3 separate regions of the Mus musculus genome follow, and regions 2 and 3 are each reported to be linked to region 1. Evidence: microRNA targets listed by miRTarBase, many of them from high-throughput screens and not tested one by one. Region 1 holds a microRNA gene; each other region holds the end of a gene's coding sequence.
Evidence for each region. Region 1 holds the annotated microRNA mmu-miR-5112 (UAGCUCAGCGGGAGAGCAC, at 2,073-2,091, shown strand). A microRNA usually pairs through its seed, bases 2 to 8, with sites in the 3' UTR of a target mRNA and lowers its output. Matches are read on the target gene's strand: a 7mer-m8 pairs with bases 2 to 8, a 7mer-A1 pairs with bases 2 to 7 and ends in A, and an 8mer does both.

Region 2: miRTarBase lists Rhbdl2 as a target of mmu-miR-5112. Seed matches in the 3' UTR shown: 7mer-m8 at 3,254-3,260.
Region 3: the mRNA of Igdcc4 is a reported target of mmu-miR-5112. Seed matches in the 3' UTR shown: 7mer-A1 at 735-741.

What each region holds. Positions count from the first base shown.
Region 1 is chr18:82,718,219-82,722,459 of GRCm38, forward strand. Mir5112 (microRNA 5112) reads left to right here and starts at 2,063; the gene lies at 2,063-2,122.
Region 2 is chr4:123,828,838-123,833,078 of GRCm38, reverse strand. It overlaps Rhbdl2 (rhomboid like 2), which reads right to left. Exons shown (of 8, transcript NM_183163.2): 8 at 3,175-3,545. The coding sequence ends at 3,366. Among named protein-coding and RNA genes, the nearest start is that of 1700121C08Rik, 26 kb to the left of the region's middle.
Region 3 is chr9:65,135,018-65,139,258 of GRCm38, forward strand. Igdcc4 (immunoglobulin superfamily, DCC subclass, member 4) reads left to right here. Exons shown (of 20, transcript NM_020043.3): 20 at 95-2,930. The coding sequence ends at 511. Among named protein-coding and RNA genes, the nearest start is that of Igdcc3, 4.0 kb to the right of the region's middle.

The DNA.
Region 1 (4,241 bases):
GGAGTTCAGTTGCTAGCATACTTGCCTAGGATATACAAAGCCCTGGATTCAGTCCTCAGTACCACATAGACTGGGCACCATGGCATATGCCTGTAATTCCAGAACTCTGAAGGTAGAGATAGACCGTTCAGGAGTTCAAGGTCTTCCTCAGCTACACGGTGAGTTTGAGACCACCAAGCAATCAAGCAAGCAAGCAAGGTAAGAATCTATTCTAAATAAGAAGGTAGTCACTGTGGCTCTTATGCTCTTGTATACTTGATATCATTATAGGTTCAGGAAATAGCAACTCAGAGCTTTCTGACTTCAAATCTAAAATTAGCCCAGATACAACCCCCCCCCCCCCAACCAAGCTCTTTAAATATATGGCAGCCATGGTTACATCCAGCCAACCGATTTCGTTTTACTTGCTGTAGCATTGACTCATCAGGGCAATTAATATCAAGAGCTCAGGGCTTGCCTTAAGGCCCATGTAGCAGCAGCTGAGTCTGTCCAGCTCTTGTGAGTGGCAGGGGTGGGAGGTTGTCTGTGCCCAAGTCCTGCTTGTGCAGAGTGTGAGGCTGTAAGTGCCTCCCACAGAAGTCTGCTGTGACAGTGTTGTAAACATTGCATCTGCTCAGAGCTGCCTCTAGCTGCCTTCAGTGGGGGGTGGGGCAGGGGGAGGAGTGTCTCAAAGCACACCTTTATAGCTCTGGGTGCGGCCGTGCTGAGTCGGCAGTGAATGAGCTCTGCGCGCACACACACACACACACACACACACACACACACACACACACGCACACGCACACGCATGCACACACGCATGCACACACTCATGCGCACCCTACCATTGCTGGCCATTGCTTATCCTCTTTGCCTTCCACCAGTTTCCCGGAAGTTAAACAACCTCCCTTGAGGCCAAAGCGAAGGCTACTTTCTAACAGTGACTGAACTTGTAACACCTGGTCATGTAATGACAAATCAAGCATGCGTCTGGAGATAAAATGATATGAACTGTACTTGGACAATCATTAGTCTGTGTTTGTTGTGTGGAACCTGTGTAAATAAAGAAGCAACCGGCTAGTCAGTCAGGGCTGCAAGGTCACCATGTCCAGTTCACTCCTCCCTTGCTGACTCCGTCTCTCCTTTCAGGAACCCTTTTAACTGACAGGCCTGGCCCCCTGGCACATGCCATTTTTTCTGTGTTGTGCAATTAACACAGAGAAGATCCCTCTGTCAGGGACAAACAGGCACAGCACATGAACAGATCGTATAAGCAACGGGGCAGATCTCTCTCTCTCTCTCTCTCTCTCTCTCTCTCTCACACACACACACACACACACACACACACACACACACACGTGTAAGCACAAACTACAGACAGATGGGGAAGACAAGGAGAAAGAGAACCCAATTTGGGCTCTCTCTTGGTTAAAGGACGCTAAGCGGAAGTTTCTGGTTTCATTCCTTAAGGAGACATCGATCGGTCATCCCTCTAACAACTATTTGTCAATTGTGTCTGTGACTGAGATGTTATAGCAGTTTAGTGGTGTGGTGGTGATGTGTTTGAGGTGGTGCTGGGAATGTGATGATGGTGATGGTGGTGGTGGTGATGGTGGTGGTGATGATGATGATGGTGGTGGTGGTAGTGGTAGTGGTGGTGATGGTGGTGATGATGATGATGGTGGTGGTGGTAGTGGTGGTGGTGATGATGATGATGATGGTGTTGTTGGTGGTGGTGATGGTGGTGGTAATGGTGATGATGGTGTGTGCTTAGTGAAGACAGACACCAGGCTAGGTAGGCAGCATGTCTCTGCTCTAGCTGACAGAGGAAGCCATTTTCTTCTAGTCACCCATGTCCACAGGACCGTACTGGAGAACTCATTTCCCGAGTCAGTGGGGTTCGGAAGCAGGAACGATGCTTCTCTGACACAAGTCTCACAGCTCGGCCAGGAGTGCTGCTGCCCTCAGTACTCAGGATCCATCACTACTGTGGGAGGAAAAGCAGACCCTCAACTGAACTGCCAGGCCATCAACACAGTTCCATGTGAATGCTGGAGTCTTACAAAGAGGGTTGAAGGCTGAGGGCTGGGGTGTAGCTCAGCGGGAGAGCACCTGCTTCATCCCCAGCTACATTTCCAGTGCCACCCAAAACAAAACAAGACGAAAGTCAGCCCAGGAAAATCCAGATTCAATCTACAGAAACCAATGCAGAGCTGTGGCCTCACTCAGGGCAACATCGTCTGCCTACACAAGCTGGTGTGACAGACAGACGGACGGGGATCACAGTCACGGTGACTATGCACACCAGGGGGAACGATTTTTGTAAAGAAGTTAAATTCATGTCTCTTGACTGCCTTTTTCATAAAAATGCTTTAAATTCATGAGTTTCATGATGGCATACTGTATATTCTGCTCAGATTCACTCTTTCCTGTTCTTCTGCATTCTGTGGGCTCCCATCCTTCTCCCAGTAGAGATAGTCTCTGGTCTACTTTCATGTCTCTCTCTCTCTCTCTCACACACACACACACACACACACACACACACACTCCTACGTTGTGCAAAGGAGAGAGAGCACATGTCATATTTTGCCTTTCTCATGTCTGGCTCACTTCACTTAATATGATGATCTCCAGTTCTGTTTTATGCAAATGACAAAATCTCAGTCTTTTCTTTCTTTTCTTTTCTCTCTTTGTTTCTTTGTTCTTTTCTCTCTCTTTCTTTCTCCTTCCTTCCTTCCTTCCTTCCTTTCTCCCCCTCTCTCTCCCTCCCTCCCTCCCTCCCTTCCTTCTTTCCTTCCTTCCTCTCTCTCAATCTCTCAATCTCTCTCTCTCTCTCTCTCTCTCTCTGCCTGCCTGCCTCCCTCCCTCCCTCCCTCCCTTCCTTCCTTCCTTCCTTCCTTCCTTCCTTCCTTCCTTCCTTCCTTTCAATTTAGGGGCTTACTATAAAACACTGGCTGGCCTGAAACTTCCTATGTGGACCAGGCTGTCCCAGAACTCACAGAGATCCACCTGCCTCTACTTTCTGAGTGTTAGGGGTGTGTGTGTGTGTGTGTGTGTGTGTGTACTCTTCCTTTCTTCCTTGTTTCTGGCTAAATATGACTCTAGTGTGTATACCACATTTGTTTCATCTACTCATCTGCTGATGGGCATCTAGGCAATAGCTCAGCTATTGGAAACAGTAATATTGCATGGTTGTAATAAGCAGGGCCGAGCTGGTATCTCTGTGGTATACTGGCTCTCGTTTTACCCCCACTGGCAAACAAAAAATAAACAAAAACAAAAAAAAGATAATTGTATGCCTCACCTCTGAATTTTGTGGGCATATTTGTCTCTGTGGGAGCTAACTGCTCTTTGGGAAGCTGAGGGACCCTCATCTGGATTGACAGCTGACCTATTGAGCAGCTGAATCCGAAGGACAGCACCAAGCCTCATCATACCATTAACCCAGAAAGCAAAGCTGCACACGTGGGGCTGTGGGCAGAGAGACTCACAGTGGGGTGAAACAGCAGGGTCTAATGAAAGGTCAGAAGGTCGCCGTTTAGTACCCAAGGGCAGTCTTCATCCCTGCACTCACACAGTAATTTACAGAGCACTCCCTAGGGAGGAGGGCGAAGGGTGCTTACACGTGCTTGTGTCTACCGACTTGTTAATTATTTAGTATTTATCGAAAGCAATTCTTCCAAAAAGATATAAACAAGGAGGTAGATAAATGTGCCTTTCCTAAGTGCTATCTATCCAAACTAGATTTTTTTTCTTTTTGTTTTATTTTATTGTTGGTTTCGTTTTGTTTTTATTTCCTGATCCTCGGATGGCAGAGTGCTGCGTAGGCTCACGGAGAGGGAATAAATTCTGGAAAGTGAAGACAGGATTGTGAGTCTTTTTAATTTGTAACTTTATACTTTTTACTGGTTCTCCCGTTTCCCAATACAGCAACAGGATCTTATTTTTATAATCAGAAAAAAAAAATCTCAGCTGGGTGTTGGCATCTACCTATAAACCTCAGAATTTAGGATGTGGTGGGGGGCAGGAGAATCAAGAGTTCAAGGATATCTTTCACTACGTAGTAATTCAAGGCCAGCTTGGGCTACATGAGAACTTGCATTTTTAAAAAAGAAGAATTGCCGAGCTGAGGATACAGCCCTGCTGGTACAAGTGCTTGCAGCACTGCAGCAGGCGATAAAGCACAAAGCACTGCGCTCCAGTGCTGGGCCTGGCAGTGCTCACCCGAGATCCCAGCATCCAGGAGGCAAGAGTATCACAAG
Region 2 (4,241 bases), not on the chromosome of region 1:
ACATATAATTAATTTTAAAACTTTTAAGAGGAGTGTGGTTCAACCCTTTAGGGTTTCCAAATGTGTGCACAACACACACACATAGTCTAAAAGTTGGGGAACTGGGTCAGTACACAGTGTTTACTGGATACATATATCTAAGTTTACGTTCCAAGCACCCAGTGAAAGTTGGGGAACTGGGTCAGTACACAGTGTTTACTGGATACATATATCTAAGTTTACGTTCCAAGCACCCAGTGAAATGCAGAGCAGCTCACTTTATAATCCCAGTGCTGAGGGGTGGGGGGAGACAGACAGACAGACATCCTAGAGGCTGGCTGGCCAGCTAAACTAGCTGAAAAGGTAAGTTCTGGAGTCCACAAAAAATGTCTCGGGGATGGAGAGATGGCTCAACAGATAAAAAGCACTGGCTGCTCTTCCAAAGGTCCTGTAGTTGAATTCCCAGCAACCATATGGTGGCTCACAACCATCTGTAATGGGATCTGATGCCCTCTTCTGTGTGTGTCAGAAGAGAGGGGTTGGGGAAGAGACAGTGTTTCAAAAAAATAATAATAAAGTAATGGACAGAAGCTGGGGACCCCTGTGGTTGAATTAGGGAAAGGATGGAAGAAGCTGAGGAGAAGGGCGACCCCAAAGGAAGACCAGCAGTCTCAACTAACCTGGACCCCCGAGATCTCTCACTGAGCCATGAACCAGGCAGCATACTCCATCTCATATGAGACCCTCCCGACACATATACAGCAGAGGACTGCCTAGTCTGACCTCAGTGAAAGAAGATGCACCTAACCCCCAGGGAATGGTGGGATGGGGGTGAGGGGTGGGGACATCCTCTTTGAGACCGGAACTGAGGGGCACATGGGGGGGGCAGAGGAGGAATGGGAGGAGGAACTGTCAGTGGGCAGACTGAGAGGGGGAACAACGACTAGACTGTAAAAGATTAAAGATAAAAGAATATATATTATATCCAATGAACTAAATGAAGATACAGGAAGCAATGTTGGGGTTGAAAAGGATGAGCATAACCAAGAGTCTTTGGAAAGTAAAACAAAACCATACTTTTTACAACACAAAGCACCATTGAGAAGCCACCATAATGGACTTTTACCCCTGTGCAACTGTAAGCAAAAATGAATTATATCCTCTATAAAAATAAAATAAAAAATAAAGGTAGATGAGCTGGCAAAACGTCCCAGTGGGTAATGGTGCTCCCTGGTAAGCGTGGTAATGTACGTTTGATCCCTGGGGCTCACATGGTGGAAGTGTTGTGCCAGGAAGAGTTTGTAAACCACAAAAGACCACCAAGAAGCTGTTTCCAATGTAGAAGCATTAGGCTCTCTTCATTACAAGCTCGGGCTTGGGCTCTCTTCCAACCCAACCCTGACACAGCAGGATGGGAAGGGAAGGTGGAGCAGCTTCGATTCCTCAGCAGGACAAGTTTTTATAGGAAAATGGGGGCAAGTAAGTGATGGGGTGAGGAAGGGGGTGTCCAGTCTGGCAAGCGTCTAATAGGATAACTATAAGCCGAAGCAAGGCCGTATACAATCACAGTCTGAAAGTTCATCTGAAACAATCAGACTAATCTTTTATTGACTGTTGCTAGGAAGTAGCTAAGGACAAGCCATGGGGTCCTTCCTGGTAACTGGGTGCAGGCTGAGTTCTGCTGCGGATCAAGTTCTCAGGCTTTTTTTCTTTAAGATGGAAGCTGGTCCCAAGATGGAATAGGAGAGGTCTTTGGTCCTATGAAGGCTTGATAGATGCTCCAGTGTAGGGGAATTGAGGGTAGGGAGGTGGGAGTGGGTGGGTGGGTGGAGGAACACCCTTATAGAAGCAGGGGGAGGGAGGATGGGATAGGGGGTTTCTGGGAGGGGGGATAACATTTGAAATGTAAATAAAGAAAATATCCAATAATAATTTAAAAAAAAGACAACTGATTCCCTTCTAAAGGTTGCCCTCTGGCCTCCACTTACTTTACTTGTATGCTCTGGTGCACATGCCTACACATACACACATACAAACACACACACACACACACACGTGCGCATACATGCACGCACGTGCACATCTATAAGTATTCAGTACAGATGTATTATTTTAAAATATTTGTAGTCTAGGTCAGTTGAATCTGTGGCTGTAAACCCACAAGTATGCAATTGTACTTTGGTGTTTTAGGCATTCCCATATCCTCATCTCTAAGATACAGAATAATATCTAATTATCTACTTTTCTGAGTTGAAAAATTAGCAGCTATATATACAAAACACAACAGTTTTGCTTGGGGCTCGACAAATGGCTCAGTGTTTGGAAGTTCTTGTTGCTACTGAAGAGGACCCAGGTTTGATTCCTAACACCCGTTATGGTAGCTCACAGTCATTTGTAACTCCAGTTACAGGGGATCCAGTACATGCATATGGTACACACACGTGCACACAGGCAAAACATTCATACACATAGAAGTAAAGTAAGTCTTGCCAGTCATGGTGGCCCATGCCTTTAATCCCGGCACTCCCGAGGCAGAAGCAGGAGGACCTCTGTGATTTCAGGGCCAGCTTGGTCTACAAAGCAAGTTCCAGACCAGCCAGAGTTGTTACACAGAGAATCCCTGTCTCAAAAACCAAACACATAAATATTTAAACAACAACAGTTGTGCTCTGTCTACTGAAAAGTGATTGTCAAGAGTTTTACATGGGAAGCATAGCTCAGTAGAGCCGGCCTTAAAGGATGGAGACCCCAGGTTGGTATCACACAAGCCTGTAATTCCAGCTGCAGAGATGTAAGCAGAGATCAAAGGACTTGCTTGGATTCAGCAAAGTTCTTAGCCATTCTATGATACATACACAAGGCTTTGCCTCAAAGCAACAGGAAGCAAGAGTCCAGCACAGATGTGAAAAAAAAATGTTTATTATCAGGATAGTACAGTTCTCATGGAGCCTATAAACAACCTCCAAGTTACATCCCCCGAGGATATCAAGTCTCCTTCACAGGGTAATACACACATGCTCTGTGCATGAAACACCTGGTCTTTGCTTCTTATCTTCTTGCCTCCTATTGTAAGCTCAGTCGCTGTCCTGCCTTCTTTATAATGTTCTTAGCATTTGCTGGAATATCTGTGTTTCTTTACAGAGTCTACAATTCCCCTCCCCCGGTGACACTTTTTTTTTTTTTGGTTTTTTTTTTGGGGGGGGGTTTTGAGACAGGGTTTTTCTGTGTAGCCCTGGCTGACCTGGAACTCACTTTGTAGACCAGGCTGGCCTCAAGCTCAGAAATCCGCCTGCCTCTGCCTCCCGAGTGCTGGGATTAAAGGCGTGTGCCACCACACCTGGTCCCATGTGACACTTTTATATTAACTGGTTTATCATAGAGGCAAGTCAGTTTGCTGGGGACAGAAAGATGTTAAAAAACACAGCAAATAAGAGACAAGCTACATATGCAGCAATTGCGATCCAGAACCTGGGGTCTTTGAGCAGGGTCTTGTCAAAGCAGCTGAACACAGTGTAACCTATGGACATCCCAGCAAATCCACCTGCAATGTGAGCAGCAAAGGACACCTTGGAGAAAGGGGAAAAAATTAGAAATAGATGGAGAAAATGCTAATTGTATATTTTAGCTGTGGATCTCCTACTCCAGCGCAAATATCATCGTCGTCTTAAAGTCTGGGTCTTGGGGCTAAGATGGAGGAGACACAAACTCCTTTGTCCCTCGAGACAAGATGATGTTGTAAATCACGTAAAGCTCAAAAACTGTGGCCAGGTGAGGTGGGTGTCGCGCGCCTTTAGCCCCAGCACTCAGAGGCAGGCAGATCTCTGTGAGTTCAAGGCCAGCCTGGACTACAGAGTAAGTTCCATGACAGCCAGGGTTACACAGAGAGACCTTGTCTCAAAAAACAAAACAATCTTTTTCTTTTCTGTTTATGTAACTTGTTATTATTGTGTATATGTGTTATGGTAGGGTACACGTGCCACCAAGCACATGTGTAAGGCAGAGGGTAACTGTGAGGCCAAGTCTCTCCTTCCACCCACACATGGCTTCCAGGACTGAACACAGGCTTCCAAGGGAAGTGCTGGCCACTTGAGCCACCTCACCAACCCAAGTCTTTCTCTCTTTTTCTTTCCCCCCTCTCTCCCTTCCTTCCTTTTCTTTCCTTTTCTTTTTTCTTTCCTTTCCTTCCTTCCTTCCTTCCTTCCTTCCTTCCTTCCTTCCTTCCTTCCTTCCTTCCGTTCTTTCTTTCTTTCTTTCCGTTGAGA
Region 3 (4,241 bases), not on the chromosome of region 1:
GTCAGCCTCTCCCCCCGCCCCCCAATATGTTGGTCATTTTCTGAAGACCATTCTCAGTGGTGCTCACCTAGCCTTTTGTTCTCCACTCTGCCAGAGCAACGGGAGAAAGAAGCCGTCCCCAGCCTGCAGGAATCAGGTGGAAGCTGAGGTCATTGTCCACTCCGACTTCGGTGCATCCAAAGGATGTCCTGACCTCCACCTCCAAGACCTGGAGCCAGAGGAACCACTGACTGCAGAGACTCTGCCTTCCACGTCTGGAGCTGTGGATCTGTCTCAAGGAGCAGACTGGCTGGGCAGGGAGCTGGGAGGGTGCCAACCAACAACCAGTGGGCCAGAGAGGCTCACCTGCTTGCCAGAAGCAGCCAGTGCCTCCTGCTCCTGCTCAGACCTCCAGCCCAGCACTGCTATAGAGGAGGCCCCTGGGAAAAGCTGCCAGCCCAAAGCCCTGTGTCCTCTAACAGTCAGCCCAAGCCTTCCCAGGGCCCCTGTCTCCTCTGCTCAGGTCCCCTGAGCAGAAGGCAGATATGGCTCAGGAACATGCCATGCATGGCTACACATGTGTGTACTAGAGATATCCATAAGTCCTTGGAGCCTCTTAGGGTCCTTTGGCTGGGGTTGGGGAGAACTTTACTCTCCCTCATATTCTGCATCACATACAGGAGGGACTTGAGACACAGCTCTGTGTAATGGACACGTGTGAAGTCGTGTGTGTGTGTGTGTGTGTGTGTGCTGGTTGAGCTAGGAAACCTCTCCCTATGTAGCACTCACTGTGGCCTAGTTGACCCTCCGTGGCAGGATGGTGTAACAGTGATCAGTGCCAGCTCTTTGAGCTTTTAGCCTTGTCACCTAGCCTTTTATTACACTCTGAGAGTGTCTCCAGTGCTGTGTCTACAAAGACAGCGCCAGCCCCTCTTCTGTCAGCTGTGCTGAGCAGAGTGCCAGTCAACTCCACGGGCCTATGACACCGCAGCCTACCACAGCATGGCTGTCATCCCCCTGGCCTCCTAAGGTCCAGATGTCTGGGTGAACCCAGCTCAGCTCCCCTCTCCTTTGAGCATCTCTGTACCTAATTTTGTAATCTGGGAAGTGCCTGGTTTGGGAAATCTTCTTTCGCACCCTGTCCCTCTCTGCCCCTTCCTTCATTTGTTCTGGTGATCTGTCTCATGTCATCTTGCTCGATTATCCTGGGGCCCTTCTCTTTCCCATGATGCCCCTGATTTCCTCACTGCTGTTTTCATTTCTGTCTGCCATGCTTGTCTTTATGTCGTGTGTTTCTCGTCCCTGAGTTCAACCTATGCACCCTTTCCTAACAACATGACTACCTCATGTCTGCTTCAGACCATAGTGTGACCCCTGGGTCCCCACAGCTCCCCTGCCAACCGCCTTCCTGGGCAGATGACCCACTCCAAGTAGATCTGGAAAAGACCTTGTGGCTTGTCTGGCTGCCCTCCCCTTGGTGTTGAGATGAGAAGGTTTTCTATGGAAGAGATGAGTCCAGGCTGCACAGGGGAACCCCCAAGAAGGGGTAGGGAGTGAAACCAAGAGGCTGAAAAAAAATGGCTGCCACCCATCTGCACAGAGAGATGGGTGTGTGCTTTTGACGTGCAGTCCTGGCTGAAACTGAAGGGGTGAGGAGAGGGGAGCTACTGGGGCTGCCATGGCTCAGTTCCCTGACCCTGGAGCCCTGAACCTGGCTTCAGAGTAGCAAAGAGTTTCCTCCAAGATGCTGTAAGGGAAGTCTTTGCATAGGAAAAGGGCGGCTGGCTCATTTTATTTTATCTTTCTTTACACTGAATCCCAAAATCATCTTACCACAAAGGGCCAAGCCTGACTGGTATTTCCTGAGTCACAAGAGCCATGCCATCTCTCTGGTTTCTCACCTCAGTCATGTCCCAGAATTGTCAGATCCAGTGGCATCTGTGCTCTTGCTGCACATCTTTCTATTTCAACTGGCTGGCACATCAAGTGTTAACTCTGGCTTCTGGGCCAAGTTAGAAATAACCAGTCTATTTTCCCTTTATTTTATTTTATTTTATTTTATTTTATGTCTTTCAGTGGAGTTGTAGCTTCTGAAAGCGTCTGTGTTTATTAGCCTTGTGTGTCACTCATGTTTGACCCCACCCACATTTCCTTCTCCTCCCCTCTTCAGCCAGCCTATGATAACACTAAAGATTATTAATGCTGGCTTCGTATCTCATTAAAGACAGGATTGTCACTTGAACTACTTCTATAGCATTCAAAGTGGCCACGGCCAACACCACCGTATGTTTCTTCATTGCTCTGAAGGTCAAGAGCCTCATTTTGTTTTCCTGGTTAGATTTTTTTCCTCCTTGCCTTGAATGAAATAACCGTTTTAACAGTAGGCTCTTAGCATCACACCACATAGTCATTCCTCATGTTCTTGTTTAACAAGCACTGAGGTTCTGGTTTAAATTAAATAGCTGCAAATGAGACAATTTATAACCCATTAGGCTGGGTGGAAAATTGTTTCTCAAAAGCAAATAAGTAATAAATCTGGTATCTGCCTATAACTCACAGTTGATAAGAAAGTAGCCAGAACTCACTAGCATTATATATGATTTGGGTTCTGAGTAACTGGGGAGTGTTAGCTTTGTGACTTTGTAGCAGCAGGTCTTATTAGGAAAGTCTGTTGGCCTTTTACAGGGCATTAGTCCCTTTGTCGTTTGCCATGGATGCCTTAAGTTCTTTGGAGTCTCATTTAAGAATTTCTTTTCTCGAAGCATGACAAGTGTATGCAATACTTACATGCTCACTCGTTTACCTGTGCTTAGTTTGTGCTGGGTTATTTAATTGCACTTTCCAGCATCATGCTTCCTCCTTACAAATATGATATTCTTTATTGTTACACTAAGGTGTTGATCATGTATCTGTCCCTGTAAAGAATTAATAAACTATTTTCCAGACATGTTGCTCTCTCTCTTTTTTAAAGATTTATTTATTTACTATGTGCAAGTACACTGTAGCTGTCTTCAGACACACCAGAAGAGGGCATCCAATCTCATTACGGATATAAGCCACCATGTGATTGCTGGGATTTGAACTCAGGACCTTCCAAAGAGCAGTCAGTGCTGCTGGGATCAAAGGCGTGCACCACCACCGCCCAACCATGTTGCTCTTTTAACTTTAAAGAGTTTTGCATGTTGGTTTACACAGAGGTCAGAGCACTTCAGATCCCCTGGGACTGGATTTTAGTGAGCCATCCAGTAGTGGCACTGAGAGCCAAATCAGGGTCCTCTGCAAGAGCAATAAGCCATCCCTCAGCTTCAAGATATGTTCTTTCTGGAACCAACTGACTAGAGTTTTCTCAAGTCTTCCTGGCCCAGGATAGGAAACAGTAAATTTTGAGAGTAGAAAGAAGATGGGTCCAAGAAAAAAAAAACTAAAGCTTCAGCCAGGTATGGTGGCATACGTCTTTAATCCCAGCACTCGGGAGGCAGAGGCAGGTGGATTTCTGAGTTCGAGACCAGCCTGGTCTACAGAGTGAGTTCCAGGACAGCCAGGACTGCACAGAGAAACCCTGTCTCGAAAAACCCAAAAAAGGGACTGCAAATGTCATTGTGCAGTTGAATACTTACCTAGCATGTGTTTGCCTGCACATACACAGGCACACCACATGCATGCCTCTTAAGTTGGAGGAGTGTATTAGATCCCTGCCAACCCTTTGAAACTGCAACGTCCACCGATGTGTTGAGTTGCATCATAGCTGACCTGGGATGTACCTGCTATCAGTGACCCGTCAGGTTCACCCTGCATGCTCTTCTTCACAAACACCCTCAGGTGTATACACAGTCTCAGAACTCTCCATGCTCAGACCCGTACTCCACACATCTCAGGATCACAGCTGACAGCTGCCCTCTGCTGAGATCTTTAAGGAGCCCAGAAAGTGCCTTTTCATTGGAAGGAATCATAGGCCAGCAGAGGCTGTCATGCCCAAGACCACCCCCAAAGTGGCTGGTGGGCCAGGCTCAGAGTTAATTGACAGATCATACAGAGAGATACTGCACATTTTGCATGCAGCAGAATAGCCATTATTTGCATATCACTCTCAGACCACGGGTTGTGATAAAGAAGAATTAAACACTTGTCAAGATGAATTTAAAATGACAGCAATTCAGGACACCAATTTGACCTCTCTGGAGTCCAGAACATGCCAATAAGGGGTGGTTGATAATTCAAGGCCTGCAGGAGGGCATTCCAGGACTTTAGGCCGCAAGGAGGCC